4 linked regions of the Styela clava genome follow. The protein of the gene in region 3 binds, or shares a complex with, the protein of the main gene of each other region. Links are inferred from orthologs where the notes say so. Each region holds a gene or a part of one and is shown on either strand. Other genes may lie near its edges.

The links.
Region 1: F-box and leucine-rich repeat protein 13-like (region 3) and dynein regulatory complex protein 12-like share a complex: the UniProt entries of both Homo sapiens proteins name them as parts of the nexin-dynein regulatory complex. The link is inferred for Styela clava from reciprocal best matches to the Homo sapiens genes FBXL13 and DRC12.
Region 2: F-box and leucine-rich repeat protein 13-like (region 3) and dynein regulatory complex protein 9-like share a complex: the UniProt entries of both Homo sapiens proteins name them as parts of the nexin-dynein regulatory complex. The link is inferred for Styela clava from reciprocal best matches to the Homo sapiens genes FBXL13 and DRC9.
Region 4: F-box and leucine-rich repeat protein 13-like (region 3) and dynein regulatory complex protein 10-like share a complex: the UniProt entries of both Homo sapiens proteins name them as parts of the nexin-dynein regulatory complex. The link is inferred for Styela clava from reciprocal best matches to the Homo sapiens genes FBXL13 and DRC10.

What each region holds. Positions count from the first base shown.
Region 1 is NC_135258.1:9,394,880-9,401,297, reverse strand, and holds dynein regulatory complex protein 12-like, read left to right. Parts: upstream 1-4,141; 5' UTR 4,142-4,201; coding exon 4,202-4,801; 3' UTR 4,802-5,103; downstream 5,104-6,418. Other genes in the region: translation initiation factor eIF2B subunit alpha-like, read right to left, coding at 673-1,584; A-kinase anchor protein 14-like, read left to right, coding at 5,165-5,284, 5,766-5,885, 6,349-6,418. UniProt on the Homo sapiens protein: Component of the nexin-dynein regulatory complex (N-DRC), a key regulator of ciliary/flagellar motility which maintains the alignment and integrity of the distal axoneme and regulates microtubule sliding in motile axonemes.
Region 2 is NC_135256.1:11,518,768-11,527,243, reverse strand, and holds the start of dynein regulatory complex protein 9-like, read right to left. Parts: upstream 3,644-8,476; 5' UTR 3,515-3,643; coding exon 3,392-3,514; intron 3,074-3,391; coding exon 2,954-3,073; intron 1,878-2,953; coding exon 1,771-1,877; intron 1,270-1,770; coding exon 1,141-1,269; intron 729-1,140; coding exon 605-728; intron 268-604; coding exon 148-267; intron 77-147; coding exon 2-76; intron 1-1. Other genes in the region: uncharacterized protein LOC120327970, read left to right, coding at 5,130-5,196, 6,262-6,327. UniProt on the Homo sapiens protein: Component of the nexin-dynein regulatory complex (N-DRC), a key regulator of ciliary/flagellar motility which maintains the alignment and integrity of the distal axoneme and regulates microtubule sliding in motile axonemes.
Region 3 is NC_135258.1:12,567,342-12,576,035, reverse strand, and holds the start of F-box and leucine-rich repeat protein 13-like, read left to right. Parts: upstream 1-4,970; 5' UTR 4,971-5,216; coding exon 5,217-5,291; intron 5,292-5,696; coding exon 5,697-5,800; intron 5,801-5,922; coding exon 5,923-6,016; intron 6,017-6,092; coding exon 6,093-6,235; intron 6,236-6,437; coding exon 6,438-6,517; intron 6,518-6,723; coding exon 6,724-6,910; intron 6,911-6,989; coding exon 6,990-7,151; intron 7,152-7,518; coding exon 7,519-7,681; intron 7,682-7,762; coding exon 7,763-7,920; intron 7,921-8,266; coding exon 8,267-8,438; intron 8,439-8,694. Other genes in the region: guanosine-3',5'-bis(diphosphate) 3'-pyrophosphohydrolase MESH1-like, read right to left, coding at 158-293, 702-807; 18S rRNA aminocarboxypropyltransferase-like, read right to left, coding at 1,080-1,856; uncharacterized protein LOC120338966, read right to left, coding at 3,106-3,684. UniProt on the Homo sapiens protein: Substrate-recognition component of the SCF (SKP1-CUL1-F-box protein)-type E3 ubiquitin ligase complex.
Region 4 is NC_135253.1:8,310,199-8,319,194, reverse strand, and holds the start of dynein regulatory complex protein 10-like, read right to left. Parts: upstream 3,596-8,996; 5' UTR 3,481-3,595; coding exon 3,358-3,480; intron 1,845-3,357; coding exon 1,645-1,844; intron 1,557-1,644; coding exon 1,339-1,556; intron 994-1,338; coding exon 845-993; intron 457-844; coding exon 331-456; intron 1-330. UniProt on the Homo sapiens protein: Component of the nexin-dynein regulatory complex (N-DRC), a key regulator of ciliary/flagellar motility which maintains the alignment and integrity of the distal axoneme and regulates microtubule sliding in motile axonemes.

The sequences.
Region 1 (6,418 bases), about 3.2 Mb from region 3:
GTGTAGAAAAAAAGTCGATATGACTTGATAGAACTCACATCTTCACCAAATATAATTCTACCCGACATATCAACGGATATGTCCCATAGGCACGCAGAGCTAAAGAATTTTCCATTTCTGAATAAAAAAAACATCTGTATTCTGACGATGTGGCAATAATCATTAACTTTACTTGGGGGTCCCGCATTCTGGAACAAATATTTTTCTTCCCATTATTAATTCTTTTCTCTGGATTATTAATTCATTCGCGACTGGAATAGCTGAAAGCTGGAATTTCAGTGGTCTCCTTCAATTTTGCTCAGATGAATGACTCAACTCTGAGCAAATTCTCCTAAACCAAAGCAAGACATTCGAAAGTACTCTTATAGTCCTCTGAAATTCATTTTATAAAGTAATAATTTTGCTGTGATATAACAGATCATACAACAAAAACTTCAATCAAAACCGCGCCAATTAAAAATAAAATTAGAATCCGAATAATTATCACCAATATTGATATGCCACATTGCACCTTTGATGTGTTATTAAAATGACCTGAACATGGCCATATAGCATTCCATGCAGACTTGCAAGATCTTGACAAAAATTTTTATGACTCTCGGAATACTGGCCACCATTCTGTATTGGTGGTATCTCCCAGATGCGAATATTCAACCTCCAACCATTACAACTTTATAAGTATAGTTTGATAAGTTCATCACTTACAGCAGAAGGTGTCAGGACACCCAAATCAGTTATTAGTAAAGTGATATAAGATGGAGGAGTGTAGTCTACATTAGGATGTTCTTGGTCAAGATTCTTGGACTTGATTGTTGATGCTTTGTATTTTATTTCATTCGGTACATCTTGCTGATTTAATGGATAAAGGCGAACGAATTTAATGCTCTCGGCAGCAACATACAAGGGTTTATTATGTGCCTTTGCACAAACAGCAATTTGGTAACTTCCTATCTTGTTCATAATCCCACCGTTTTCTACCACACCTTCAGCACCAATCAATACAAGGTCTATTTTTTCCATAACATAACCAGCAGCTGAGTCAAGAATTACAGTCACTGGGATGCCATGTTCTCTTAATTTTTCCGCCATTATATTACCACTCATGTCTGGTCGTGATTCAGTGACAAAAACAGTGAAACGCTTTTGAGCTTCCATAGCTTTGATTAACATGTTCAAAACTACTCTTGAATATGAATGAACAAGAACTTTGATACCATCATTCAAAAATGGCAACCCAAGTCTGGCAATTTTTTGTCTGCTGGATGATATTTTTTGCAGGAACATTTCACCACGGCTTATTAGAATATCCTTCACTTTATCGAAGTCTGAGTGTTCTAAAGAAGATAGGGTGATAAAGCGAAGAAACAGTTCCGATCCAGACAAGATAGGTGTAATTCCTGTGCAGTCAGTCCTCACAAGCACTTCTATTGCACTTTTTAGATTATCTCGTAATCCTGATAATGTTTCAGCATGATCCTTTCTCAGATATTCTATTAGAGTTTTGATTGCAGCAACTGCGGGAGATGATTGAGTACTGTTTCGTAATTCCGACAAAAAATATTCACTTATCTCTTCATCATTCATGATCTCTTTCTGTGAATACCCTTGCTATATACAAAACAATACCTGCAAAGATAAAAAGAGATATGGTTCAAATAATATTTGTTGAAAAAAGAGGAAATTATTATTATTCAGTCCAGGAGTACAAATCACTAATGTATTTTACGCCAAAAGGCCTTGTATGCCACTGCTAAGTCTGTAAGTGAAAATCACTGGGAAGAAATAATTACAGAATTACGATTCAATTGTTTCAGATATGGAATATTATTAACACTTAACAAGTGAGCATTCTGTTTGGTGACAGGGTCCAGTTTTGTTTGATTGTGGATATCTGAAAAATCATTGCGAAATATTTTGAGAAATGTTTATACAGATGACATTTACAGCTTTTATTCAGTTATAAAATAATATTATGATTAGATATAAGAACATGGTGCGGTACCGGTACTGGATAAAAGCCAAATACAAATTATAGGGTCTAATAAATCCAGAAATCTGTAAATCCTTCTTATAATCCAACTGCCTGACTGTGGTACCGGTAATACAGTAATATCTGAATATGCTGATTGCTGACTACAACAGAACTAGGCTACTAGCGGTACCTACTAATTAAGCAAGCTTAATGAGACTACCTCTATAGAATTTCAAGTTACCAAAATCAAATTTTGTCGCAGGTCATTTCCATCGGATACCGGTATGCATTCGGAGTGGGAGTGGTGACTCCTCTGCGGCCCATGGGCCGGGGCCCATCAAGTTGTGTAAAGAAACTATTCACTTGGCTAACACAGACAGTCCCCGAACTCATAATAGAACTATAATGTAAAAAATCTGAATTTTTTTTGTCCTAACCCTAACCTGGTACACATACTACAGGAGTATGTTTTTTTGGTTAGAATATTGACAATTTGGTAAAAATTGAAAATTTTGTTAAGATAATTGAATTTTTCCTGATGGGGCCGCGGCCCATCAAGCTATGGGCCACGGCCCATGTGGCCCCGGCCCATGGGCCGTAGAGGAGTCACCACTCCTGTAGTGCATTCGGCACAGCATGATTGGGAACATGACGCAATGGTTGTGTCCCTTTACATACTGGTACCGGTACTCAAGACAGATTTTCAGACATGGTTGTAACTTGTAAATATTGGAGTCGCTATCTGTTTGTATGTTTTAGATGTGTTTCCGAAATTTTGGTACCGGTACCTTATAAATCAAAATACCATTGGTCGTTTTGTCTTCTGGAGCGTTCCAGTTTAGTAGTAGTGATGAAAAATAGTTATGAAACAAGTAAACTCGTTTGGAAAGTGCCAGGCGTATGTTAGTCGTTGGTGCCAGCAATGACAATAAATGTCATTGAAGCCAGGTCACGAAAACTGTCAAAGGGGTCAAGGGCCGGATTATTATTCTTGAAAATATCAAGTGTATCAGAACTCCATGACAACGCGACACGCTTCGTTCGGCTGAGAGTTTTATTTTGTGTTCTGCCGCTCGTACAAGGCTACCGGTATGTAGTAAGCGAACTAGTAACTATTTTAAGCTATGACTTGTTTCTATATGTATAAGAAATAATAATAACAACTGGAATGGAATTTTATATGTGTACGGTATTAATGCGTGACAGAGAGAAATGAACAGCTGTATTAAGGTATATTAGGAGGAGGAGGAGGATTTACATATTTATCCCGGAGGAGAGGAAAGCCGACAAAAAGAACTGACTGCTGCCAATACAAAAAAAAATGGAAAGCCTATGTTGACTCATCATGAAACCATATTTGGATTGAAAATGACTGAAATATTGCAAATGAATAATATTTTTGTAATGTGAAATACTTTGGTTACAATTAATCTCATATTGTTAGATAGTTAAGATAGATAGATAAGTTGTTAACGCTTTATAGGTACACAAAAGTGTGATTAGACCATCAAATATTTTTAGCAATAACTAATCTCACAGCCTGATTTTTTGTCATGATTTTACCATATATCATATACATCAGGGGTCGAGAACCTTTTTGGTCAAGAGAGCCATAAAAGGTACATATTTTCAATTGCATTTCCGTGCGAGCCATACAGCATTTCAGGCCTGAAATTTTACTCAAAAGTCAACAAATACAATGTCAATATACATTTAATGTGACTTCTGATGCTTCAACGGCTGCTCACATGCAGCCAAGTTGAAATCTACGATACACATCACCATCACCCTTCTTTCGTTTAGGCATCTCTGTACTAGTTTGATTTAAATATGACAAATACTGTAATTAGTACGTACAAACGGACGAAAAGCTTTTCTCTATAGCTCCGAAACTATAACACTTTGTGGCGTCACAAAATAGATTCCAGAATCCCCTAGTTTTGTCACAATGCTTGTCTGGTAATTCTCTCAAATAACATAGACATGCGCTGGGCGCACGTTTTCAAACGTCTTGGCAAATTTGGCTATAAATAGGTTTGAAAACTCGTTAACAATTGTAAGCTTAGCCTTACAATATTAGATTTTTCTGGGAGCCATATTTATGCCGCCATCAAAAGAGCCATATATGGCTCGCGAGCCATGGGTTCCCGACCCCTGATATACATTATGCTTTATTTTACTTCTTATTTATTCAAGCACTATCAAATTCTATTATAGTAAATAAATAAAATGCCACCAAAAAAGAAAAAGGGCAAGGGAAAGAAAGGAAAGAAGGGCAAAAAGAAGGATGTAGCAAAAGAAGAAGACAAATTTAAAAAGACTGTTAGAGAAATTGAAATTCTGAAAGAACATCTCGCTCATCGAAATGAAATTGCTCGGAGATCACAAGCCCAAGCATCAGATTGGAAGAATCGTCTTCATGAAATGGAGGAAAATCTTGAGGAGCAGAAATTGGAACAAAAAGATGTCAGTGCAGAGTTGACTCGACAATATAAAACGATGCACACGGATATGGACATTAGAATGCGAGAACTAAACACAGAAGTAGAACATCTAAGACAACAAGTAGCGAATGCAAGACAAGAGCTTGAAACAACGAAACGAGAAAAAGAAGAAATGGAACAGGAAAAAAACGAAACAATCAGAATATTGGAAAAAAGAATCGATGAAATGGAAATATCATACGAAGGAGTCCTTACGGCTTCGCTTGATTCACTTATTGGAAAAATTGATGAAGCTAAGGATAAATGGGATCAAGAAGGAATTAAAATACAGGAACAAACTAAAATTACTCTTCTAGAGTTCGGTCTGAACCCTCTGGATATTTGATAATAAATTCAGATAATTTGTTCTGTTGAAAGAATTGCTTACAAGGTCATACGGGAGAACATTTTAAATCCGCTTGCCTTCAATGATAGACAATAAAACTTATATGAATTCTAAAATCTGATCATTGGATTAGACTACCTGCTCATATTTGTTGATGATTATATTCAATAGCTTACTGGAGAACTAGGTATATTTTAATGTAATCCTGTAGTTTTCATAAATCATTTTCATCACTGTGTTGTGAATTGTGCGACTTTCATTTGTGTCTCACTATTTTTACCTTGTTATCATTAATTTCATAGTACCATATTGATAGGTTTAAAGGTTTTAGGGATACTACTGTATAGTTGTTGTGACTAAAAAATGCCTGTAAGATGGAGTGATGAAGATCCTGCTGAATTTGATGAGGAAGCATTCAAAATAGTCGACGACGTAATAGCAAAAGCTGTTCATGATGTTTCAGTTGAAATTAGACATAATTTGGTATGTATATTTTATATGATATGTCAAATCTGGCTTGGATAGGCCTTGAAGCTTCATATACCAACGGCGTTCCGGTTGTTGGACAGTTCATTGCGTTCCTGTTGTTAAAATAAAATTATGGTTCGAAAAGTCTGGTTTCCTCGGGAAACTTAGTTATTAATTGATGTTTTGTTGCATCATAATTATTTTTACATTTCAGCTGGCAAATAATTAGTGCACAGCAGTAATGTATAATGAATGTTTTGCCGACCTTTGACCCTTGTGAACATTTGTATTGAATTAGTATGAATATTCTTTCAATTTTAAAAAGTCATATTTCAGATAATTTCATTGTAGTTCTTCGGCTCTATCTTACGATAGACAAAATTACTGGTAGCGCCGTGTTGTAAATATATATTACATTTTCACGAATTTGGTGCGTTCCGGTTGTTACGATTTTTCTAGCTCATCACTGACCGTATATATATATATATATTTTCAGGCCAACCTTCCAATAATATTTGAAGATAAAGAAGACTTTGGAATTCCAAACATAGAATGGTCGTCTTGTGAAAACTTCACTCCAGAAAATGGAGTGGGTCAGATAGAGAAGTTCATCGCTGTATGTCTTGAATTTTGCTCTTTGTGCTAAATTTTATATATGTGTAATGTGTATGCAAATGTGTATTATATAGAGAACTTCACTAAACTATGCTCTCAAATGTTGAAGCCAATTATGTAGGTCCTCCTGAAGTATGCACACCAAGATGGCGCACAACGTGAACTCAGGTTGTGTACCAGGTTAGATTCAGGTTGTGAGACATCTTGGTGTGCATACTTTAGGAGTACCTATATGTACAATCTTTGACTGGTGATAAGTTAAGGCTGGATCTGTAATAGCTAACAAGTTACGGTAATTGTTTAATTTTATAGACTATAAATAGTTTTCAGGTTCTACAAGAGCAAGGAGTTCGGATATCCTCTTGCAGCATATTAACTTGTTATTCTAGTTCTTCGCCGATTACCTATATGAAACATTTTTCATAATACAATATATTCATATTAGATATATTTTACTATAACAGACTTGGAAGCGAGATTCAGCATGGTTATACTGTATCGATTATATGGGTGACACAGAATTTGATTATGATA
Region 2 (8,476 bases), on a different chromosome or scaffold from region 3:
CCTTCTGATGTGTTTTCAAAAAAGTTTCAATTTCAACATGAGTTCTGATTTCTTCATCTGTCTGTGCCTTGAGTAACTGCGATAGAAATTAAATTTATAAATTTTTGGACAAATTCTAGTTTCAAATTCTGAATTAGTTAGAAAAACCTCAAGCTTTTCTTTCAGTTGCTGTTCAGTAAGAATGCATTTTTGCTGATTTTGGTGAACATGGTTCTCAGCATTCTTCTTTACATACTTTCCTTCCATATTACTTTTTGCTTTCATTTCCTACAAGAAAATAAAACAAGTGTAATGAACACCTAAGCTTCGCATGAAGGATAAATGAAGAAAATCGATTAGGAATTATTTAAACTTTGAATCATATATTCATTGGCAGTGTAATAACATAAACAATGTTATGATTTATCATTTCATAAAGCTATCAAGTCAAAGCTCTGGTTGCTGCCATCAAAGTTCATCGCCCAGAGTATAACAACTTTCTTGATCAGTGCTTTGTTCAGAGCAATGATTTGGACACTCATTAATAAATTGCAATGCTTTAAATACACTGTCGAACTTATGCACATATTTAGTATGGTCCTTATATAATCTTAATATACAATACTTGTAGTTGATCTTTTAAATGAGCAATCATTTCATTTCGTTGCTGAATTTCTAATTCCTTTTCTTTCTTGATATCCCCAAGCTGACGCTGTAATTGTTTGATTTTTCTTCTGCCTTGTTCCTCTCTTAAAAAAATAAATCACAAAAAAAGTTTGAATTGAAAGTTAAGAATATTCCAATCATGCATTTCAGAGCATGTTAGTATTGAATAAGTCAAAAAATCAAGAAAATTAGTATTCTTTAAAAAAATGTGAATATTTTTTGGTCAAACATTTTACATTAGAAATAAATATATTTATACTGACATTTACTTCAAGGTGATAGATTTGAACAGCAATATGATTACAATAGCTGAAAAGCACATATTAAAGTATCCTTTTGATGGTGAAGAATGAAATTATTTGATGAGCTGCATAAACTTTGAAATAAGTGAATATATTCCATATATACATATCATATTAGAAATTGGCCATAAATTGAAATTGTTACATTAATATTGATGACGATTATTAGTCTCGCCCTTAATCAATAACATACTTTATAATTTTTTGTTGAAGAGCAGCTTTTCTCTCTTTTTCAGCAATTACAGCATCCAGAAGTGGTTGGTAATCAAAAGATTGCAGTAAACTTTGATGTGTCAATGTCAAAACATCTTCACAAAATTGCCTGAGAGAAAAACAAACTAAAATCAAAATGTTCAATAAAAATGAAAATACACAGATAGTCATTTAAATTTTGGAAACGAAACCTAATAACTTCACATAGCTCTACGTGCTAAGTGTTAGGAATATGCATGTCATTGCACCTCTGATTACCTTTCATTAGCTCGCAGGTTCGAATCCCACGAGGGACAATTATGTCTAGGAAAATTGCTGGACTCCTGGCCACCATAGAATGGTTGATTCACGTGACTGCTGGTCGGTTACGGCTTTCTCCACTACTAAAGCCATGCTTTTGAAAACAATTACCTGGCTAACTTATTCTGAAACAGTTCGCCATCTTATCGACTTTTCTATATAAATACTATTATTTGCTATATTTGTATTAAGCAAATCTCCAAAGACAAGTAGATACAATTTTGCACATCCAATTTTATACATCCATGGGTTATATAGTGAGTAATTAGGACCATGGCTACAAGTTAAGCATAAATATTATTAGTTTCACCTGTCCTTTTGTATTTTCACAAGATTGTCACTCGTCAGTGGGCTCTGTTTTAGTGACTGACTCACAAATCGATTGCTGGATGTCAGTGAACCTGTTAAGTTTTTTATCTGCAAAAATATTCAAAGGGGGATTAAATAAAAAAATAATAAATCGAACGCTTCATAAAATACCAAATTCAAAATGATCCCTTGCACGCTAAACCAGTGGTTCTCAAACAGTGGGGCGCACCTCACAAGGGAGACGTAGACAATTTTTTGAGTGGCGTGAAACTGATTAAAAATAAAAACATTTGTTATATTTGATCTTGCTCGCCTTCTTTTGGATATTTACATTTCTTCATTGTTTAGATATTGTGGAGAGCTAGAGTTCTTGTATCTTAATTATCCTCAGTGTTTTCGTTATTTACATTCCATCCACGTATTTTCATACTTTTACCTTACTATCTGTCATTTGTAGCTTATTGTTAGCTAGTTATTTTTGAGGTGGGGCGTCAGACTTGACAAATTCTAAAAAGAGGGTGTGGCTTAAAAAAGTTTGAGAACCTCTGCTTTAAACAAAGTCATAAAATTGTCACGTACATGCATGAGGCAATTTATGTATAGTGAAATTTTTATTTTTATTATACCCATTGAACCGTACATGAGATAGGCGTGATCAAATATCAGTTTCATTTTTCTATTTGTACCATTTCAGGTTAAAAGATAGTTGCTCATATATATTCTAACATACTTGATACGTGTGATGAGATCTAAGTTCTATTTTTCTATTCGTACCATTTCAGGTTAAAAGATAGTTGCTCATATATATTCTAACACAGTGTTTTTCAACCGGGGTGCCGCGGCACACCGGTGTGCCGTACAATACTGTCAGGGGTACCGTGGGAAATTCTCCAAATTGTGTGTCTATGCGGTGTAGCGCCCGACAGAGTAATCATGTAGTACTGTTCTATATCAGGTGTCAGCGCAGGTGGCAATTTGACTTTTTGTCATTGTTTTTATTTGATTACTATTCAAGATGTCCAATCCAACATCTTTCTTCAATGTTAAAAAAGCTTATATGAACAATATTACACTTATATTGTGAATATTAGGTCCTTATTTCACATTTTCAGCTGGTGGGATTTTCTCAATGAAAAAAGTGTGCCTTGGCTCGAAAAAAGTTGAAAAACACTGTTCTAACATACTTGATTTGATCCAACAAATGAGTTTCCACCGCCATCATTTCGTGACGATAAAATTGTGTCAAACTTTGATTCAATTTCACGTTGACTGTTGAGAACATTTTTCACATCTTTACTAACAATCTGCAAAAAATACATTCAGTAAATGACTTCTTATGAGCAGTTAACAGTATGGATATTCACAATTATTTTGAAATGAGCAAAACCTGAACTATATATGCCACATTTCCTAAAAAAGTAAGGACAATTTGTTTCACAAGCAAGATATATAGGCCACAATTTTGAATTGTTCGTACAATATCTATCTCCCAGAAGGAACAAAAAAGAAAGCATGTTTTTGATGAAAATGTGCCTGCAAAAAGTCAAAAAAACATGGAGTAACGGTACCAGCAATGGTATATTTGTACAGCACTACAAAACACAATAAACTCAGTAACTCACTTCCTTTGCGTCACTTTGGCCCTGATAAGAAACAGGTAGAATTCTTCCAAGAATAGAAAGTTGATCAATACAGTCTTCCATGACTGATGCATGATTAGCAGCGGTTGCGTGAGTGAACGCCATTAGTTCTGTAGTTCCTTGTAACAACTTCCAGATTGTCAATTTGTTGTTCTGTGTTACTTCACCGTATATTAATGGTTTTGAAATGTAAATTATTACATTATCAAATTTTGTTAGATTTCATTTTTTTTTTGAACTGTGCAATAAAAGTAAATACATACTTTAAAATATAGACTACTCAAGAGTTGGTATGACCAAATCATATAATCATAACACACAGGGCAATCCTGTCAATACAGCAATAGCCATATTTTCACAATATACGTACCAGATAACATGCATGAGAGATTTGACCACAAAACCTGATTTTAGTACTGGAATATGAATAAAATGGCACCGTGGTGAATATCGAACACCTATGGCATGTATAATCGCCTGGCTAAATCTATTTAAGTACGTAACTTATATCTAAATAATGATTAAAAGGAAAACAACATCAATCTCCTCGACCAAGCGTGTAATTTCGTCATGGTTACAGATAAAGGCAAATGGAAGTGCGCGGAGTCGAGATAATTTAAACCAATCCAAACCGATCGAAAACAGCTTGTCCCTTCAAATTCACGTAGTCAGTATTTTTTGCGAATCAAACTTAAATACTTACTAATTAATTTAGAAAAAATGTAAAATGAAAAAAACAGCATGGGAATGTGTGCAATATATAAGGTAAAGCAAAAATTTCGGGTCGAAATAAACTTATACAAAAAAAAACAGCCTCTTAGACTCCAAACTGAATTGCGCAAAATTATGTTATGATCGTCGTGATAGTTTTGTGACAACCGTAACCGCCGCAAAATACTTATAATTCGACGCGTAACACACAGATATTATGATAAGAACATGATCCACATGCTTACGGTATATTAGTTGATCCTCTGAAATCGAAATCTGTTCCGTCATCAGAGTATTTTTTATACAGCCTGGTTGAACTCTTTATCGAAATTTGAAACAAATTGGCCATGTCTTCGAGAACTATATCGTATTTTTATATGTGCCAAACTACGCGTAAAATATTGTTTCCCGTCACTTTCATTTTTGTCCATTTATCTTTTTATAGAAAAGGTTATGTGAATTAAATATAATACAACCGGACACAACATAAAGAAAAATAGCGAGTAAGATTGTTGCCTGTTGGCTGGAAATATTGTAAATAAATGATGGCTCAATATAGATGAAAATAGTTGTTTGTATGCAGGATTAAAGTTTAATGCTGGTAAAGTTATTGACATGTGAAGGACATCTTAAAGTTCGTCTGATGGATTTCATAACCAATGAAAACTTTACTTACCGACATGAACAAGATTTTTTAAGATCTTGATATTTATTAGTTCTTCAGCTCACACGCACATGAAATTAAAAATTATCCATAATTTTTGTCGCAATTTTCTCGTATACAGTGGCATTGTTAAACGACCACACCAATTTCTCATATATATTTTACAATATATTGTCGAAAAGGTATTGGAGAAAAAGTCGCTCATAGCCCCATTTGCCTTTTATCCACGCGTTCTCTGTGGAATATTTACGGTTAATTGTGCAGGTTAACACAAATTTGTGATAGCATTGGCGCAGTGAGATTTTAAATTTGTGCTCTCAAATAATTTGCTGCTTCTGGAAAACAATGTTTTATGCTGCTATATTCTACGTAGCATTGCTATCATTTATTTGTGAAGTAGACAGTGAATGGGGTGAGCACTTTTTATTCATTATATATTCATTTTTTATTCATAGCCAGCTCATTTTGCACGCTTTGCTCGTGACCACAATTCCCAATTTAAAAATTGTTATTCGTTCAGAAAGTGTTATTTTTAAATGTATCACCATCCACTAAAACCATATTAATGATGATTACAGTCAAGAACAATCATGATTAGCCGTAAAGACCGTTTTACAAAAATAATATCGTGTCCCTATTCTTTTACCGAAAAAGTACTTCTCTTGTTGAAAGCAATGTTATTCAAACGCAAAAGATTCGTTCAAGTTACATGGGTGCTTTGAAATTAGTTTTGCCTGTGAAACTTGTTTAAAGATATATATATGGTAGCACTGAAATAGCCTTTTACATTGTTTTTAGCTCTGTCTTTTGAAGATTTTTTCGACAGAGGAGGTAACCTACCAGGTTGGTGTATACTGTATAGGATACAATTACGTACCTGGTTTACAAACAACTTATAACATTCGTCAGACCAAATTTACTTCAAAATATTTGAACAAAAGTCCACGAACTCAAAATAATTTGTCCGTACTACGAATATATACCGCAGTACCTATTGCGCATTTGGCGCTCCAGAAGTATGTGCACCAAGATGGCGCACAACTTGAACCCTAACCTGGTACACATACTATGTTCAGGATGTGCGCCATCTTGGTGCACATACTTCTGGAGGTCCGCGCATTTTATAATTCTTCCTTCCCTGCCCAGAGTTGATAGATTCAAATATATGACTGAGTGAAAAACTGAGTGAGATTTCAGTGGTCGTATAATTCCAAAATGTATTCGTATTTAAGGCGAATTTTTTTCGCAGCTACAAGAAGTTTCCTTTAATTTCCCCGACTGCATCAACAGCAAGAGTGGTGTTGTTACGCAAACAGCCTATTTGAAGAATCCTGCTCAAAGAAATCACATTTGATTAAATATTAGGTAGATTAGGAATGGTAGGCGTATTTTATCGTAACAACCCATCTTAAACGCCAACTTATTATGTCCAAGTGGACTTTGGAAGAACATTGAAAATTTCGATTTGTATTTTTAGACTCGCATTTCCTGGATTGGTTTCAAGGCCCCCTCGACCGAATATTGGATGGCAGAGACATTGAAGGTTAGTTTAGACCAAGGGTGGCTGGCCAACCTTTTTTCGCCCGCGATCGACTAAAATCTTCAAAAAAGCTCGCGATCGACTGACTGATCGGTAATAAGGTCATAAACAAAAATGTACGAATACTGAATACGCAGATAACCTCACACACGCATACAAAAATTCCACCGATGCCAATAAGCTCGGCTCTGCGGGTGCATTCTCAATGAAATTGCCACAAAAATTTGCATTTTTTATACTACTATTCAATATGTTAATTTGATTATATAATTGTAAAAACTTTTTCATCCCTAGTTTTAATTAAAACGAAGCAAAGAAATGACTGTACGCCAATGCAGAGCTACGTTTGTAGAAACTTATTTGATGCCTCGTTTGCATCTTATATTGGAAACGAAACAGCAGCAAAATTCACACTAAAGTTAATTGTGTTTGTACATAATTTGGCATGTAGCTACATGTTTTTTTTTATGTGAGATGTTTTCTGTGTGCCGTTTTTACGCATAACAGATGCCCAGCACTGCATTTCATTATGCAAATATAGTATGGCATCATTTTACGTTCCACCCATTTCAATTTTTGGCCAGCACTGCATTTGATAGTTTTTCTTCATTTAAATTGTTTTCTGTGCGCCTTTTTACCTAGAAGCGTAGTGATTTCCCGCCATTGGGTTAAATGATTTTTAGTTTTTCCCATGGAGGTATGAGCCCCCGGTCCAGTAACTAAATCCAATTTTGGTAACTGTCTATTACTCAATAATGAAGCATTGCCTGATTCATTATTGAGTAATTACCATAAACACTATTTAAACTTTATTCCAACTTTTAGAATCCATTTTATCAACAAAAAAAAAGACAACACCACACAACTCACTGTTGTGCTGTCTTAGTCACGGGTATTTCCGGGTGATTGACATCAACTCACTGTTTTAGGCGTCGCGATGACAAAGCTGTTAAAGCGTCCGACCTAATATATATTATACTGAGCTTGTTCGGGTCTTTCACTCTAAAAAAAGCCTTTCACATGCGTCCACTGATATTTGAGGAATTACTATTATTTGATAAATCTTTCCGGTTCGGCATTGTCGACCCAATTTATTACACCCTGAGTAAGGTGGGGCAGAGGCGTGTCAAACTTTTCTGCTGCCCGGGACAAATTTCTGATGAGGATGCCCATTATATCAAACTTCAATTTGTGAGATAAACAAATTATAGATGTTGTTGCACATGAGAATAAATAAATTGAACATGGCAAAGGTAATCTGCAATGTTAACACATTTTAGTCTATTCAAGGCTATAGCGCCTCGTATCATCGGTTGCTTGTAAATTGCCTTTTTCGGAGCGAAGGATGTGAATGACCGCCGTATAAAAATGGATAATCTGACTGAAAGTCAATCGGTTCAATGAATTGATTGAAAACTGCTGTTAGTTTTATCCCGATTCCCACTTGTTACGACTCGAAATGATTATAGGCAGGCCATAACGTCTTTATTTCCAAGATTTGTTTTTATTTTGAAGAGATTTGTCTTACAAAATATTTTTGTCCTTATTTCTATGAAACGTCTACTACTGAGCTACCATAGGCTGGTGCCACTGCTACCGTTGTAAATCTATCACACTACTCTTGGAGTGAGACAATAACTTTCACACAGTGCAGAAAATGTTGTAGGATCGTTTGCCTGTCAAAACACGCGATATTCTGCATGTTCATTTCTAAAACATGGCAGTAGGGAAACTTGCATTTGTTACGTAATAATATACTCTATTGCTCTTGTCCATACTCAATTACTGCATGTGTACTTCGTATTTTGCGCTTGTACAGTACTATATTCTTCCTGTTTTGAAACACACAACAGTCGCAGTATAAAACTGGTTCAACGCAATTTTCTGGGCTATGTTATTGAATTTACTCAACATCAGACGCGATCGACTACTCGCGACCGGTCAATCGCAATCGATGTGTTGGCCACCTGGTGTAGATCAAAGTTCGTAGTTTGTGCGTAAAGATTTCAGACGTTTACCGGGCTCTAGCAACGTGAGTTAACACATTGGTGATCACTCAATGCGAGTGATATATATCACCTTTTACCTGAAGCCATCTGAACTTCCTACTTCTTCATAAATGTATATTAAGCAAAACTTATTAATGGATGTG
Region 3 (8,694 bases):
TGTGTAAAAGATCAGCCATCTTCTTTCAAGTCCACAAGTACATTTATTACTGTTGTACCGTTTGTATTAGCAAGCGGGATGTAAAATTGTATCAACCTATCACTGTAGTTTTAAGAGTAATTTATGTTTTTGCTGATTGGTCCTAAACATGTCTTACCTTACTGTTTTGCCGAATATTTCTTCTATTTCATCTAATGTTGTATCTGTATCCTCCACAGTATCATGGAGCAATGCTCCTTGTAGAACTTCAAGTTCTGTAATGCATCCCTCTTCAGAAAGAATGTTTGCAACCCCTGTTTGTATTAAATTCTTAATTTTAAAGTTTGATAAATCTATAGTGTTCGTTGGGAATAGCAAATGAATATTCACAAGCTGGTGATTTCTGATTGAAAAAGAGTTTAATGCAGCAGTTTGAGCCATTATTATCTTAGGTATATGCATTCAGAAAGAAAGTTCTATAAAGCTTTACCCAGCCTTCAAAGTTTTGCCTCACTTTGAGAAATTCCTGCTTTTTGACTAGGGGAAAGAAGAGAACTACACACATATATAACATCATGTACAACTGCATATTTACTGTTGTAGTATCTGATTAAAGCCTTACAAATATGACACTATGTGGACTTTCGCAAAGCAGGCAATTATGTTGATGCTTCCGCAAAAAAGTCGCAATGGATATGACATCTCAGTATATACATACATACCTATTGGATGATTGATATAAGGTGTTTTTGAAACATCTTTCCTACGTTGGTCTTTGTGTTTCTTAGCGGCAAAGTTTGCTGTTTTTACAAGCACAGCTAAATCCATTTCAAATAACACTTCCTGGTTTCAGTGTCAGTCTGCAGGTAAACTAGCAGATAGCTATATGACTAAGAGGCAATAGTTTAATGTATGATTCATTGTGTGAGTATAGCGTAACTACTACACATAGAGGCAATAACAAAGACGCTAACTTGGCACGATTTATTGTATTGAAATTGACAAAACAACATTTTATATCAAAAAAAGTATGATTATTTTGAACTTTTATTCTAAATTTGCTATCCTAACAATCTGCTACTATAGAATCTATTCAGACATCAAACTTCTTCAGATGAATTACAGGAAGAATCAGAATCTTCATCTGGTGGCAGGGATGTATGGTTGGGATTACAGTGTTCAACACTTAAATCTATATCAAAAGGATCCCGTTCTTCACTTTTAGCATTAAGTTCATCTCTTTCATTTTGTAGCCAATTTTGTTCAGCTGTCTCGATACTTTTTGAACTTTCACAACTCTGATATAACTCCAAAAGTTCCTCATTCAATGTAAAAAAGTTGGGACCCCATTTAAAAGGTTTCAAAACAGATTTAGCACTATCTTCAAGCCCAACAATATAAAGTGTAGCTGCATATGCCTCCACACATGACAACCTACAGGGCTTGCCATAATTTATTGGATTCGTTGCAACCAAGTATGGTAAAAGTCTCAAGTGACCTCCTTTCATTTTTGAAAATGGAGTGTCTTGCAACCTTGCCCATGAACAATCAATTACAGCTATGCCATGAGCTAATACTTTGTCTTTATCTCCGGCACTGATATATTCAGTAGCCATCGGGCTTAATATTACTCCAGCGAATCTTTGTTGTAATTTCAGTAATCTAACTGCTCCTTTACGAGCAAGCTTTCTTCCTGTACATTTTTTCGGGTCACAGTGTCCCAGGTCCCACATTGCAAGGGGGCATGCTATTGTAAAATTGCTCGTCGTGCCTCTTGGTTCATGTAAATCCTCTTCATCCATTGCAAGTTGCGGCGTTTCATATTTATTTTTGTTTTTGAAGTTTTTCCTCCGTTGATGCTGTTTTTTGTGAGACATTGCTATTGTATATAGTGTTATGTATTCTAAATCTAATTATAATACAAAAAGATGAATAAAAATTGTATATAGACAACCAAGTTACATATTCCACAGTAAATGTTCATTCCATAACAAATTGAATATTCAAACACATTCAGTATTAGTTAGTTACTTAGTTTGATATGGTTATTTCTAGAATTTTAAAATAATCCATAATAATTCTTTTTTACAACATATCATAATCAATAGTAAAATTGCCCACAGGCGCAGCAGTTAAAAATATCTTTATAAAGTTATGTGCTGTAACAATTCCATGCAAATTTTCCACTCTATTATAAATGTAGAAAATATTGTATATTAGAAATAGTTTATTATTTTAATTTAGCAATTATAGATGAGATGAGATTTTTTTTTAGGACAGGAACATATACTTTTGAATACATCATTCTATGCATAAAAATACAAGATTATTGATCAATTATAAAAGATGAGAGCAATAATAAAAACTCATGAAAGTTCATATAAAACAAATTCTCCATTCTGTTACAACTCGTTCTTTATTTAATGCAAGAAATTCATTGCATAATAATTTTCTGTACATGATACAATAAAATATAGTACTCAATTGACTTCAGCTGTGCATTACATACAATCAAGCTTAGACATTTACTGGATGCCATTCTTTAGATAACATTAAAGACAGGGGTGGGCAATTACTTTTCTGAGTGGGCCAGAGGCTCAAAAACTTAATATGAAAAGCTATGAATAAAAAACAGTTTATTTACAAAAGCTAGTTCAACAGCTAGGCTAACATTTATATAATAATAAGAAGCACAATGTGGCAATCGGGGTCATTATGACATTATTTTCAATGGAAATTTATATCCATGAAAACCATAGTCGTAATTGCCGCACACCCAAGTGTACCGGGCCTTGCATATCCCTGACCAAAGAGAATCAATCATTACTGATAGAGTTAAGACAGCTGGCAAACTATACATATTTATAGAGATAATCTTTCTCATGACATCCAAAATCATCCTCTCATGAAGTATGACCCTATTTATGTGGTAAAGATTGATGTTCAGTATCACTAAACATGCATAAACAAAGTAAAATTATATTTGAAACATTTAAATTAAAATGAACATGAAGTTTCATTTAAAATAAAAACACATTGTTGATGATAAAGCACATTCGATTGCTTGATTTATGTTTGAAAAAAAAACTATGATAACTATTTACAAGAGAAAGTCTGATTTGGTAATCACTTCACAAGAAGAGCATCAACCATACGATTTTTGAGTTCTGGATCACTGGGCATCGCAAAAGCAATATTCGCCAAGGAATATTTCCTTTCAAGGAGCAAGACAAACTGCTCAGCTGTAACTCCTTTGTCCAAAATGCTTAGGGTCAAATCTTCAGCTGACAATGAAACTCCTTTACCACCACCACCAGATCCAATTTCGCACTCTTTGTTATTGTAGTGAGAAGTTCCACCAATGTTTGCTTGATTGAAATTTCCTCCACTAATGTTGTATTTAGTGTTTGAGGCACCTTTTTGGAAAACTTTTTTCTCTTCGTTGAAAACAGTGTCACCTCTGTTACCAATTGCCGCTTGACCAATAGTACCTCCCACAATATTGAATTGGTTGATGGCACTTCCACCTCCTGAAGTGTTATATGAAACTTTTCCAGGATTAACAGTTCCAAGATGTCCTGTTGCCCTATTAACTTCAGCCATAGCTTCTCTTACTGTGTCCTCAACATATTGTTTAGTTGATTTTCCCCCAGTATACATTTTTGGCACTGCAGTTGCATCACTTTGAATTTTACGACCAGACATAGTAAAATGTTTCAACCACTACCGGTACCAAATATCAAAATTTAATTGAACAGAACCTGACAACGCTATGCTCATTTAGGAACTACTTGAACAAAAAGAAAAAAATATGTCATACTCAAAATATTATTGTAATTTACTGTTGCAATAAAATTCTTTCAGATTTATGATTAATACTAACGTTTGAATAACTTCGTGCTATTACTGTATCATGTGCCATTAAATTGGTGCTTCGAAATCAGATTAAAGTGAAGCCTTATGAACGAGTTATTCATGGCGTAATTGCCCCATTTAGCACAGCTCGCTTGACACAAAAGTTACCAGCTGATCTGCTGGGAAGAAAACGGTCAAGACGGGTACTTCCTCTTAGTGCAGCGGTGATCGGAGTCGATCACATTTTTATCCTTAACCTTTTAGGCTGAGTCATGCGTTCCTTGTCTCGCGTCAAATTTGCCAATGTTTATGCAGGAATGATTGGTTTGTGCACTTGTGCCGAAACCTACTTAACAAAAATAAAACAAATTTCTGTCCTGTTATGTTGTTTAAAGAGTGAAAATGCACTTGGATAGAAGTAAAAATGTACTTTTCGAATAAAATAGAAATAAAGAGAGAGAATCATTGCCGCAAAAACAAAATCAACACTAATATAAACATAATATATTAAAGAAAATATTTCAGCAGTAATAACAGTGATTGATTATTGTTTTGTGCGAGTCGGTGTGCAGGACCGGTTGGGTTCATCTAGGCTCCCGACCCTTGTGTTTATGCTATATATAAGCACATCATGGCATAATATAGTACCAGGGTAAATGCGAATGGATTACCGGTACATAAAATATAAATAAGATAAAGAAATTAGTGAATGATGCACAAATAAAAGTGTAAAATATGTCATAAATTACAGTTAAACATGTACAGAAACGGGATATAAAAATGAACATTTATTACGATTTTCCACGCATCTGGAACTCTGAATTGTTCAACTATTCCCATAAATATGAAAATCCTATCCAAACTGCCATCGGACGACAGTTGATGGTTAGATTTTATTTCAATTTCATCTTCAACGAGTAAAAATCAAACAGACGAACTATGATTATGTCCAAAATAGTTTGTACTAACTCTTTGTACTAACCACATGTAAAATGAAAATCTTGCACGGGGTAATCGCTATAATATACAGGGCCATCATTCTCTGTGGCTATAAATAAGCAATGAATACACTGCGCCGCAAACGACTATGAATGGTTATTTTATTCTTTTAGCAATCATTACAGCAACGTGTCATAGCAGAGAGTGAGTTAAGTTTTAGAGGATTAAATATAAATATACAGCGGGATTGTTTGGAGAAAAACAAAATATTTGGGACCATATTTAGTCACGCGAAAGAATCAGTGACCCGCGACGCTGACCTGATATGTTTCTAAGGAGACGGTGAAGCAGCAAAATTCCCGCGAGACGTTCTGATTTCTTTTTCTGTAAATGATTTTGCTAGTCTATATCTACTAAGTTTCTCTTGGTGCGAAATAAAGGCAATGGCGTCACTTCAAGGGATCGATCCCGCACTAAAAGAATATCTTAAAGTACACCAACTTCCCGAAGTATATGAGGTGATAACAATACTACACAATTTTCAGATTTAGGATTTTTTTTCATATTTTTTCTCAGGTTGCAACAAAGATAAAAATACTGCTAAAAATACAGCCCAGTTTTGCTAATATAAAGTAAATAAATAATGAAAAGTACCCTAGTTCCAAACACTCAGAATCTGCGCTAATCACCCAGTCAATAGCATTCCTATTGTGCTCGGCGGTGTGGCTCATCGTGCTAAGCGTTAGGAATACGCTCACCACGGCATCTCCGTAGGTCGTGGTTCGCCATATGATTGAGTCGTCTTATCGGTTTTTTTCACCCCCTGGATGAATATGTAAATCCTATCCTATCCTTCAATGCTGTAATACTAGTTTAGATATTTAATGATTGTAATTTTATTACAAACCTTTCATTTTTCGCAGTGTATCCTTACTGGTTTGATGATAGCATGTCCAGAGGATCCTTACAAATGGGTTGTTGAAAGCATTAAAAAAATACGCGATCAAGGTCTGGATACAATGACATGGTAGGTGAAGGATTATAATTTGTATGTAATGGTAGGACCTGCATCAAAATAAGTTTGCATATGATGTTAAATCTTCATTTAACATTGCGTTTTTGACCACTAACTTTTGCTCTTCATTTCAGGGATATGTTCGTTCCATTTGAATGTCAGCCAAAGATAAAACAAATGGCAGAAAGTTACTTGGATGAGATTTTCAAGTTTTATGACAAGTTAACCGTAAATTTTTTTAAAATATTTCTTCTTCTTTTATTCAAAGTGAAACGTCAACTAACAGTGCAATTCATAATTTTAGCCATCACCAGATATGCTGAAAGCAGCCTATAGCCATTATTATGGCAGATTACAAAAGATATGTTTCAAAGGATGGCTTAAATACTACTTGGACAAGAAAAATCATCGAAATATGATTCGAAATAAAGTCAAAGAAGCCAGACAGTATGTACAACTTTGGACATACTTGAATTATCGAGCCAAATGCTGTATTTAAATTATTTTAAGGACAGTCATGTGTAATTTGAAGCCTAAACTTGCCATTTATACATGAAAAATAAACAACAGATATTATTTTTTATATTAGTATTTGGTTTACTTTAAACTGTTTTTTTTTCAATATCAAGATTTTAGAACTTTATTTCAGATACCACAGGACAAGAATGATGAGAATATCATTTTCTAAATGGCATACTTGGAAATGTTACGTGAAAAAGAGACAAAATAGTAAAATATATCTATTTTTATCCAACTGAAATAAAATAGCCCAATTACTGGGAAAAATTTCGGCAAATCTATCCATAGGATTCATAATTAAAAGCAATGACTTTTACTTTGAGGATTTTATCTAGATACTGGCTTTTTTCTCGCGGTAACCATATATTGGAGCTTTACTATTTTGTAGTTCTATATTATTTTAAAAAATTTTTTAGGTGGTTTTGATATGATTTCAAAAGTTTGGAATGAATCAGTTTGTCGGCTTGTTTTTCGAGCTTGGAGATCGGTTGCTGTAGACGCACGTAAGACTAGAGAATATTTTGAACGTCTAGAACGTGGAGAATTGGATGAAGAATTCGGTGTCGAAACTGGAGACAAGGATCTGCCTAGTGATACATTTAGGTAATGTTTGAATGTGTTAACTTAAAAAGAAAAACACTCAAGCCAACGCCAACATTTTAAAGATTAATTTTTCTACTAGAGATGAAGTGTCTTTGCTTCCACGAAGATGTGCTATACAAATATTCAGTAACCTGAACTTGATTGAACTTAGTAGATGTGCAAAAGTTTGTAGAGCATGGAAAGTTATCACTGGAGCACCTTCATTATGGAGTCATCTTAACTTCAGTAGAATTAAAAATAAGTAAGTGAGATACTTTTTATTTACACTCAAGCATCAAGTTAGGTGACTATTGGTGCTGTCTTCAGGTGATTACTTTAAGGTTTTAGTATGCAGGTATGTATATTTGTTTCAAAATGTGTAACTTCGTCTGCCTGATAAATAAATAAAAAGCGGATACTTTTACAGGACATTGTTGGTGTCTTAAGACACAGTTGCGAGACATTCATTGGTCTCTATTTTTGAATTTGAAATTAACGCTGGCTGCCTTCAAAAATGTACTAACCTAAAACATCTTTTTTTTTAAATATGGTGAGGGACATTTTTCAATATGGAAGTATAATCTAGGTATATTGATAACATTTTTAACATTATTTATATTTGATTTCAGAGTGAATGATAGAGCCATTATTCAGTGCTTACAGAAGAGTCGTCCATACCTTGTACATCTTAATCTTCGACAATGTTTTGCTGTGCATTGGCCTGCCTTCAAAGCAATTGCTGAATGCAGAAATCTTCAGGATATAAACATTTCAGAATGCAAAGGAGTCAATGTAATGCATTGTATATTATTTAGTAGTGTGTGAGCCCTTAATTTTAACCTACATTTGTGTGAATAATGATTTTTTCTACAGGATGAAATTATAAGAGCAATTGCTGAAGGATGTCCAGTGCTTCTGTATCTCAATCTCTCGTACACTGAAATAACCGATGGCACATTGCGTACATTGGCAAGATGTTGTCTGAACATGCAATACTTGAGTCTGGCATATTGTAACAAGTTTACAGATAGGTATTGCTGTCTATATATCATGAGCCTTTTACCTCATGCAGGGTGTTATTTATGACACCATGTTGAAATATAAAAAAAAATTGATTCCATCAAGTAACTTGCTATATTTGTAGCAAAAGCAACTCATAAAAAGGACAATAAGTATATATTGTATAACAGTTAATATTGGATTAACTAGAGGTATGCTAGAAATTAATTTGAAGAAAAGTCCATAATCATGGCTGAAACATATATAAGATATAATTATCCGAAGAGAGAGAAAAATTTCAATTTTTAAACAGTTAAGTTTTTTTTTTAACATAAATTGTTGGACAATGATTTGAAGTGGAACATTTCTTTGCTATAGAGGCTTGTACTATCTGGCTACTGGGAAAGGATGTAAGAAACTGACTTATCTTGACCTGTCTGGCTGCACACAAATAACTCCTCAGGGATTCAAGCATATATCTAACGGATGCAATGGTCTTCAATCACTGTTTCTGAATGATCTACATACTCTTACTGATAGCTGTCTAACAGTAAGATTTGTCTTAAGATGTGAATTCAGTCTTTAATTTACTCTCTCTATAGTAGATTCAATACACAATGATGATGCAGTTTGATGACCAGAAATCAATATCCATGATTTCTAATGCAAATATGACTAAATCGACTTGTTACATGTAAGCCATACCCACACCAACTAAATTACCGTACTATGACAAAATGGTTATCAATTTATTAATGTTCAATAATAGCAATGCACACTTGGGATTTGCAGCTTCTGAAGGCTGT
Region 4 (8,996 bases), on a different chromosome or scaffold from region 3:
CTATGATAAGACAATCACACCTGCACAAGCGAGCGACGAAAACAAACCAATCACAGACTGTACAAGCGTCAGGTGTTAAACAACCAATCACAGAATGTACAAGTCACCAGCTGTATGATAAGACAATCCACCTTCACAAGCGATTGTGTGTGTGCGTGCACGCTTTTTATCGTGAGAACTTGGTAAGGTTTGAAGCTTTTGGAATTACCGGCAAGTCAGCATAATATCATCTCCTTGCGTAATCAAATTCTGATGCGCGAATGAGCTAATTTTCTGGTTAAAAATTAAAACAGGATGTGAAATCTGTCTTGTCTTATCAAAGCGAAGTACCTGTTGTTTATCAGATTCTGTTTTTGTCCTTCTGATATGTTCTTCAGAGAATTGTTCAATTTGAAACAAATCATTTTTCAATCTTCGAATTGTTTCTGTTTTTTTACTCGTCTCTTGTTCTTTATCCTGAATGAATTTACATTAACAGGCTTATTTTATCAAAAATTATTTTCTACTGAATTAAAATATTAACTCTACTTCAAGCACTGGCAGTTCAGGTAGCAGAAAAAATAATGCAAAAGTTAAACCATACCAACACAAAATTAGGTGTATAATCTGCATAAAATGTGCTCGTATACACAAACTTGAAGCAGGCTTCTTGAAAAAAAAAACGAACCTAAACCATAAACATGGGAAATTAATTACAATTAAACCTCGAAAGTCACAATTAAATTTATCACCTGTTTTACATTTCCTTAAAAATGCGATAATACCTGAATACTTCTATGAAAACAATTTAGCTTGAAGAAAAAAAAAATAATTATATTATAAAAATAAAATGCATAATCCTTACTTCGATTGCAGAATCAAGTTGTGCCTGTAGTTTATTTATAACAGTAGAATTTTGCTTTTCCCTTTTCGAAACTTGATCCAAATAACTTGATCTATCCGATTCCTCAGCTGGTGTTGTCAGTAACAATTCAAGCATGATCGCTCTTAATTCTTGAGAAAAATATTGTTTTTATACATTTTTGGTCTTCAGTCATGTTTTATAAAAAGCAGAAAATTGCTGCGTTCAGACAATTTCATTTTAAGATAAAAGCACTGCATTTAGTTTCAAAATGAATAAAATCACAATTGAATTCACATAGCCACTGGCCGATTACGGTTTCTGCTTCCTCCACCATTAAGTCCATGCATCTGAGATAAATAACTGGCTAACTAATCCCATACCCCACTGGGAACCAGGTTTATATGCCTCGTGATTAAGTCGTCGGCTTTCCTCTCCTTCAGTATAACTTAAATTGTTTTCAGTGCCGAATGTAGGAGTTATTTTGGATGAATTACCTTTCAGTGCCTCAATAATTTTTGCATCCTGATGTGTAATAATTTGTTCAGTACTTTCAAGAATTAAGTCACGTCTAAGTGCAGTCGCAACAGCAGGATTTAAAGAAAATTCTCGCATAACATTCTTGCATGATTCAGACACTTCTAATCTTAACTTCTCAAGTTTTTCAGAATCTTTGGAATATTTGGTGACATCTTCGAGTAGGGCGCATTTTTCTCTGAAAATATTTTGATAAAATATCAAAATTTCTTGTTATTTAGGAATATATTCTATCAAATATATACACCATGTATTATTAATCTTACTTGTGTGTCTGAATTGCTGCAACAAGCTCATTCCCTAAGGAAACACTGAATCTTGCGAGTTGCAAAGTGATAGTCGGAAGAATTGCAAGAAGTTCATGTCGTCTAATTGTTTCATCAAGGCAAGCAATAATTCGTTGGGTTTCCACAGTTCCCAACTTTTTTCTTGCTGGATCAAGAATACGTAAGGCAGCAGCTACACCCTGAAAATATAATCTGGCATTATTTAGATATATTGATATTTGACATGCAGATAGATATATGCTAATTAATAAATCCCTTGAATAACTTAGTATGTGCATTCAGAAATTCTCTCATTCTAATTTCGCTATCACATAAAAAATCCATGAATAGAAATGAGCTAATATTTCATATTTTGAGTAAACTAGGTCAGTACATCCCAATCAGTTCATAGGGTGGCTTAGCCACTTTGCGACCATCAACTTCATCGATGTTATTATTGCTGAAAAAATTAAGGAACAGCAACAATATTTCCCACGCGTTATCGTCCACTTATCCCCCATAGCTCTGCAAAATTACACTAAAATTGGGCCACAAACAACGAAGTTACGACCGAAAACCTGACCAAAAAAAAAATCATTTTTTCATGTCGCCAACTACCTATTGTCCCCGTAGTAAAGCTTGAAAATCCATAGAAATACAAGAAATAAAAAGATGAAACTTGTCAGTTGGGTAGAGTTGTATTACTTTTAACCATCTTTTAAAGTTTCACGTTTCCACATTTAAGGAAGGGAGAATGGGGAATGCATTTCCAATAGGTCAATAATATCTTTGTCGACCAATTTGCGACCACCATGTTTTTGTGTATTTGATTGCTGTAAAGCGGTGCTTTGTTTGTAATTTGACGAGTTGTGTTCAAAAAAACTGTGTTCTTAAAATCTATGACGGTCAGAAATGCAATGGGAAGCCTAATTTTTTCTCACATGGCCGTGTATGTTGTAGTTTCGACGCAGCAGAAACGATTTTCAAGGCACAAAATCCGGGTCTAGTATGGTTTAGTACCACAAGTACTTCCAGTGGGCGTAGCATAACGAATTTTGCATATGTTATTTCTAACCCCTACCTGACTATGCTATCAAAAAATTCCGTCACTACGACGCCACCTTCACGTCATAGGATTGCAAAAGTATAATTACGATCGCTGAAATGGCACCTGCGCCGCCGATAACGAGTCGCTAACGCCGACGATCTCTCTCCGATCGTGATCGTTGTGACGAGAAAACGAGAGAAATAGCTTGCTCAATTTCGGGTGACCGTCTGCGCGTTTTGGACGATCATCCGCATACTTTGGTGGGTCTTATTACGCCACTGTGACGTCGAAATGACGTAATTTTTCGGTGACGTAGTCAGGTGGGGGTTAGGATTGACATATGCAAAAATTGTTGAGCCAGGCCAACTAAAAGTGCATGTGGTACTAAACTATACCAGACCCCAAAATCTGTGATCTCACACTGGTCGTTCGGTCGCAAATATGTCTTTTGAGTGTCGTACTTTGGTGGTTTGTATAGCTTTAACCCCTGGTCGTAGAAAGTTAATTCGAGGTTAAGCGTGTAGAATGAATGCCAATGCACCTCTGGTGAAAAAATTAACAGGATAGATATATTGGTTTTTGTTTTATAGCGGTTTGAATGAAACCGTCCGCAGACTGGCTACACCACCCTACGAAACTACACTAGACACAAATTGTTGTTCAACCTGTTGGCTGTTGGCGCTTCCACTCCTGGTCCTGTTTGACTTCTTGCTCTTCAAGTTGAGCGGCGGAAGCAAAACACCCGCACCAACATCTCTTGTGTGTTGAACTGTAAGAACTTCCGTCATATTCTAGGGTAATTCAGAAACTGTAAGTTAAATTAAACAGATAATCGCCAGAAATTTCTAAAAAGTCGTATAGCTGTTTTATTTTGTCACGCATGGTTCAGCTCACCATGGTAACGAGCCTGTTATTGAGAGCGCCATCTGCTGGTACAAACAAATACCTAAACCACAAAGAGGCTTGGGAAGTTGAATAAAAATATCTACGAAATATTTAATATGCCCGAGAAATCAAAAACTTTGCAACTTTAATATCACCGCTTATCTTGAACATCAAAAAATATTATTAATCGGTCATTCTAATTTTAGGTAACAATTATTACACAGTGGCTTTAAAATAAACTATATATAACTAAGACAAAGAGACGTATGAAGATTGTTAATTGAAATGACTACCAGCGAAGAAGACTCGTTAATTTAAAAAGTATCCGTTTCGAGTGCCGTATTTGGTTGTTAAAGATTAAGTGTTTCGTGAATAAAGACGCTCACCATTTTTTCAAACAATTTGTTACTTGGTTAATTTTTTTTTAAATATTGAATAAAATATCAGTTTCTAGAATGACCTCATTGATGTCTGACACATGACGTTATGCAGACGTTTTCAAACAGAGGGCTCTTTCATTTTACGTCAACCATTCATTTTACCACAAAAATAGATTAATAAAGATTCCAATCTGATGCAGCCTGAAAAATAGGTCAGGCGAACGTTTTTATCGAGTATGCACTCATAATACCCATGTTTGAAATATAGTTTGATACCGACAATCTGTAAAATTGTTAGCTTATGTTGCACCACGAATGCATTATTTTTCTTCATTTACGTAACCTCGTTTCCCAAACTTCAAGTAAGTGTTTTGGTATTTGAAAGTTAATTATTTGCCTCACATGGCGTGTTTTCTTAAACATGTTCAACTATTTATACTGTTGCTCTTATTCCGTCGATTCCAATCTATTCACTCAAAAAAAGACACAACCAGTGGCGGCGCGTCAATAGGGCCAACCGGGGCAATGCCCCGGTTGTTTTTTCGGTATAATAAAAAATATTCGAAAAATACCTCAATATCGGTTGCACAGACTGTCTACGCTAGCCATATTCTCCCGACATGGTTCATTTTTCGCTCGCAAAGCTTTCGACGCCGATTTTGCCCCGGTTGCTCATTGTATATCGTATTCTCTCTTTTATCTTCCACTCGCCGCGTTTGTCTCGTTTGTTTTCTGTTTCTTTTACTAAATCATCGGGGCCGATCGGGGCTAGCCCCGAAATTATGACGACACAATGCCGACGTTTCTTACAACAACGTGTTGACATATTCACGCATTCCTTCTCGTTCGTTGGTTGCTTGAAGAGTTTATAGTTTCCTCGCCTTCGTTTTTGTCGCTTGTTTCGCTATTTGAATCAGTTAGAGACCTTTAGTCTATTTGCTTTCGATTTTCCACATTCCTTTTGAGCTCCTCACTTCTTTCCGGCTTCGCATTTCTTAGCCTTAGACCTCATAATGAATAAGGTTGATGCACTACTTCGCACTCCGTTTTCGCAGTCTTGGGCCTTATCAACCAAAAAATTGTTCACTGGAACAATCCCATGACGGAGGAAAGCGTCGGCGTACATTCTGCGCAGAAACTTGGTGTTTTGCACTTTTTTGTTTTTATTGCCTACTTTTTGCTACCGCCCGTGACTCACGTTGGTGTAAATTTGGTTTTAGAGATCTTAAACATCTTTCCGAGCGTGCCAGGGATCATCAATCTTCTATGGAGCATCTGGACAATGCAGTAAAATACTGAACATTCGAAAATGTTAATATTGCAGCACAGTTGGATGAAGGACGCGCAGTTTCTATTCGTCGGCACAACCAAAACGTCGAGAAAAACCGCCATGTTCTCGGTCGATTGATAGATGTTTTGAAGTTCATTGGTTGTCACGAGCTGTCCCTCCGTGGGCAGGATGAACGGGCTGGCTCTTCTAATAGAGGGGTATTTTTGGATATGGTGGAATACACCGCATCCCTAGATACAGTATTGAGAGATCATCTTGATGCCGCAACTGTTTCGAAAGGGACATCTAAGGATATCCAAAATGATTTGCTCGACTCAATGTATAAAATTTATTTACAACATTTGGCTCTGGAAATTGAGAATTGCCAGTTCCTTTCGATTCAGTCTGACGAGACAACTGACATCACGTGCGTTTCCCAACTGGCTGTGATTTTTCGGTTTGTGAAAGATGGTAAACCTACCGAGAGATTTCACAGCTTTGTACCAATCGTTGATCGCACGGCTTGCGGGATATCGGCTGTACTGAAAAAAGTGTTACAGCCTTACAACGCGAAGTCGAAATTGATAGCTCAAACTTATGACGGCGCGGCAGTCATGAGTGGGTCGAAACATGGTGTTCAAGTTAATATAAAAGAAGATTTTCCTAATGCGCATTTTTCACATTGTTATGCACACCAATTTAACCTCGTTATTAAAAATATGTGTCTTGATACCCCTCTCGTCCGTATATTTTTTTGCAAATGTTTCGGGGTTTTCTTCATTTTCTTCCGTTTCGCCGAAGCGCTCTGACCTCCTTCGCCAGATATGTAGCCGCCGTCTCCCAGCTTGTGCACCAACACGTTGGAACTTCCAATCACGCGTGGTGCAGGGCGTGTCCGAAATTAGGTCTGAGCTCATTGAGTGTTGCAATGGCATTCAGAGCTCTCCGGTTTGGGACGAACGCTCTGTGAGAGAGGCGGCAGGTCTAAAGCGTCTGCTAGAAGATGGTGAGTTTTCATTTTTTCTCTCTTTTTTCTCCACAATATTCTATCACGTGGATGTATTATACGGCGCATTGCAGTCAAGGCTAATGGATGGAGCGTCTGTGCAGTCGTGTATTTCAGACTTCTGCGATGCTGTATCTCGTATCCGGGAAACAATAAAATACGACGACACATGGAGTGCTTCTTTACGCCGCGGGCAAACAACGCAGCGTTTGATTTTGTCTGCAAAGGAATGCTGTGACATTCTGGTGAATCAAATAGGCGATCGTCTGCGCACTGAACACCTTGCCGCGTTCTCTTTGATGAACCACAAAATTTTTTCAAAATTTGCACGTCAATTTCCCATCCATTTGTTGGCTACTGTCTCCAAATTTTACCCCATGATAAACGTGGGTGAATTGGAAAATGAATTGCGATGTATATACACCAATCAAACTTTTTAGAACATCACATCAACTTGCGCGCTCTATGGGTTCCTCATAGATAACACTCTAGTAACTACCTTTGCGGCGTCTGCAAAATTTCTGGACATCATTTTGACGACGCCTATTTCTTCCGCCGACGCAGAGCGAACATTCAGCACGCTGAAGCGTATTAAAACGTATCTCAGAAACACAATGAAGCAAGATAGATTAAATTCCTTGGCTGTTTTATCCATTCACAGAGACGTTATTTCTGGGATGCATGACTTTAATCAGCGCGTTATTGAGCATTTTGCTTCCAAGAAACCGCGGCGTGTTGCATATATCAAGCAGTAGAAGTCTAGCAGCATATATATCTATGAGTGAGCGACGCATGTCCTTATCTTTGCATTACCTTTCCTTTCTTCATAGTAACGTTTTAAACCTTCTTTTAGGTTTTGTCTGCTTCCCCGAAGTTTCTGTTAATATGTCATTGTATTTATCTGGGTAAATATTGCCTTTCCTTTTGAAAGAGGTTTCAAAATAAATTATGTCTATATTTATTAATCCCTTGACTTGGACCGGTTTTAAAGACACTTACTTATCGTTAAAAATTGTCGCTTTTGCCGATTGGTTGTTACCGATGGAATGGTTTTTATACTCATAAAATGATGATAGAACTTACAGCGCTCATCCTGTCCCCGTAGATGGGGGTGACTTGGTCCCGCAGTAGCTTGCCCCGGTTGTCAAAATGACCACGCGCCGCCACTCACACAACCATAGCTTATTTAAACTTCAATTAAACTACTTTGCACAACATATGAGCAGAAATTTTATCCGATTCTAATGGACTACGAGCGTTTTGCGAATGATGCCCAACGCTCACATGTTTTTGCAACTACTGTATAAGCTACACGCTGTACCTCTATTGCATTGGTTTTCAACCTTTTTCGTATCGCGGAACACTTTTTCTAATCTAAAGTTGTGGCGGAACACCAAACGAGATTTTTGAAAATAAACTATATTATGCAATTAACTGACATCGATCATTTCGGCATGAAAATAAAATAACGAAATTAATAATATAGCTTGTCAACTTTAGCTGGAAAAGACGTGACACATTCCGATTCAGAGCTACAAGAGCTAAAGTACGGTACAAATAAATGTTTTTGCGGGTTTGCTTATAAATACTATGATTAGCTAGAAACAGAAATGGTATATTAATGTGATATTTGGGTCTGTTTCGATGAGTTTCAAATATTTCATTCTGGCTGTAAATGGGGAGAGCTCTTTCTCAACGGCTTTCAATTTCTCGCGTTTTTTTTATACGCAACAGGAGTCCAGAGGGTCGGAAGTCGATTTGGAAATTAATAGAAACATTGAAAATTGGCAACAAAGCAATTTTTACTGTTTAATTTCGTCATAATCGCTACTTTTTTTGCCCCCTGAACGTTTTCATATTACCGCCTTTTTTCTTGTGCGCAATTATTAATTCTTGCCGATCGGCGGAGATCGAAGTTTCATATTTTGATATAACTATATGCGTTCATATCGACAACAGATGGTATTGACATTGTGGAGCGATTTTACATTCCAATTTAATTTTATTCTGATTTTTATCGTTTGCCCCGACTTTGATCTAACTTATCGCCGTTTGCAAATTAAACGTCCCAGTTTTAGGCGAATAATATTATCATTATCGAGCACACATTTATTAAAACGATAATTGAGTTTCTTATGCTCCACACTGGTGTCTGTGTTATTTCCGAAATAAATCAATTAGATACTGTTATTAGATAAATCTGTGATTGCGTGAATCCTGAATGTTGATTTAAAAGCTGAAATAAAGGCATTTCTACGTGGTCATTAGGCGAGATGAAAAAAAATTGTAAACAATTTTGTGCCCAATTGCTTTTGTGCCTAGTAGAAGGGGAGACTGATTAGAAAATCACCTCAAGTTTTCACGTTTTCTTTTCTAACAAAACAATACCGCGACCATTATCATAGCTATAATCGTTACCTACAAATTCACAATTTTATTTGCAAAATCAACACTTCACTAGACGATTTTGATGATTCCACACCCTAATTCTTACTACAAGAAAAGCTTAAAAATGCAACGAATGTAATCAACTCCGATGATGACTCCCTTCGTGGTCGAGTATAATGTTCACATTTTTGAAACATTATTTGGTCAAGAATGGAATGGATCACTAAAAATACACGCCGAGATAAAGTCCATTAAAAGGGAATATGGCCTGTCATTTCTTATCTGGTTACAAGTTTTTTATACCGACTTTCCAAAACTCTGACTCGCCATTTTCAAATCGACGCTATTTATATTATTCGAATGACGTCATAATAC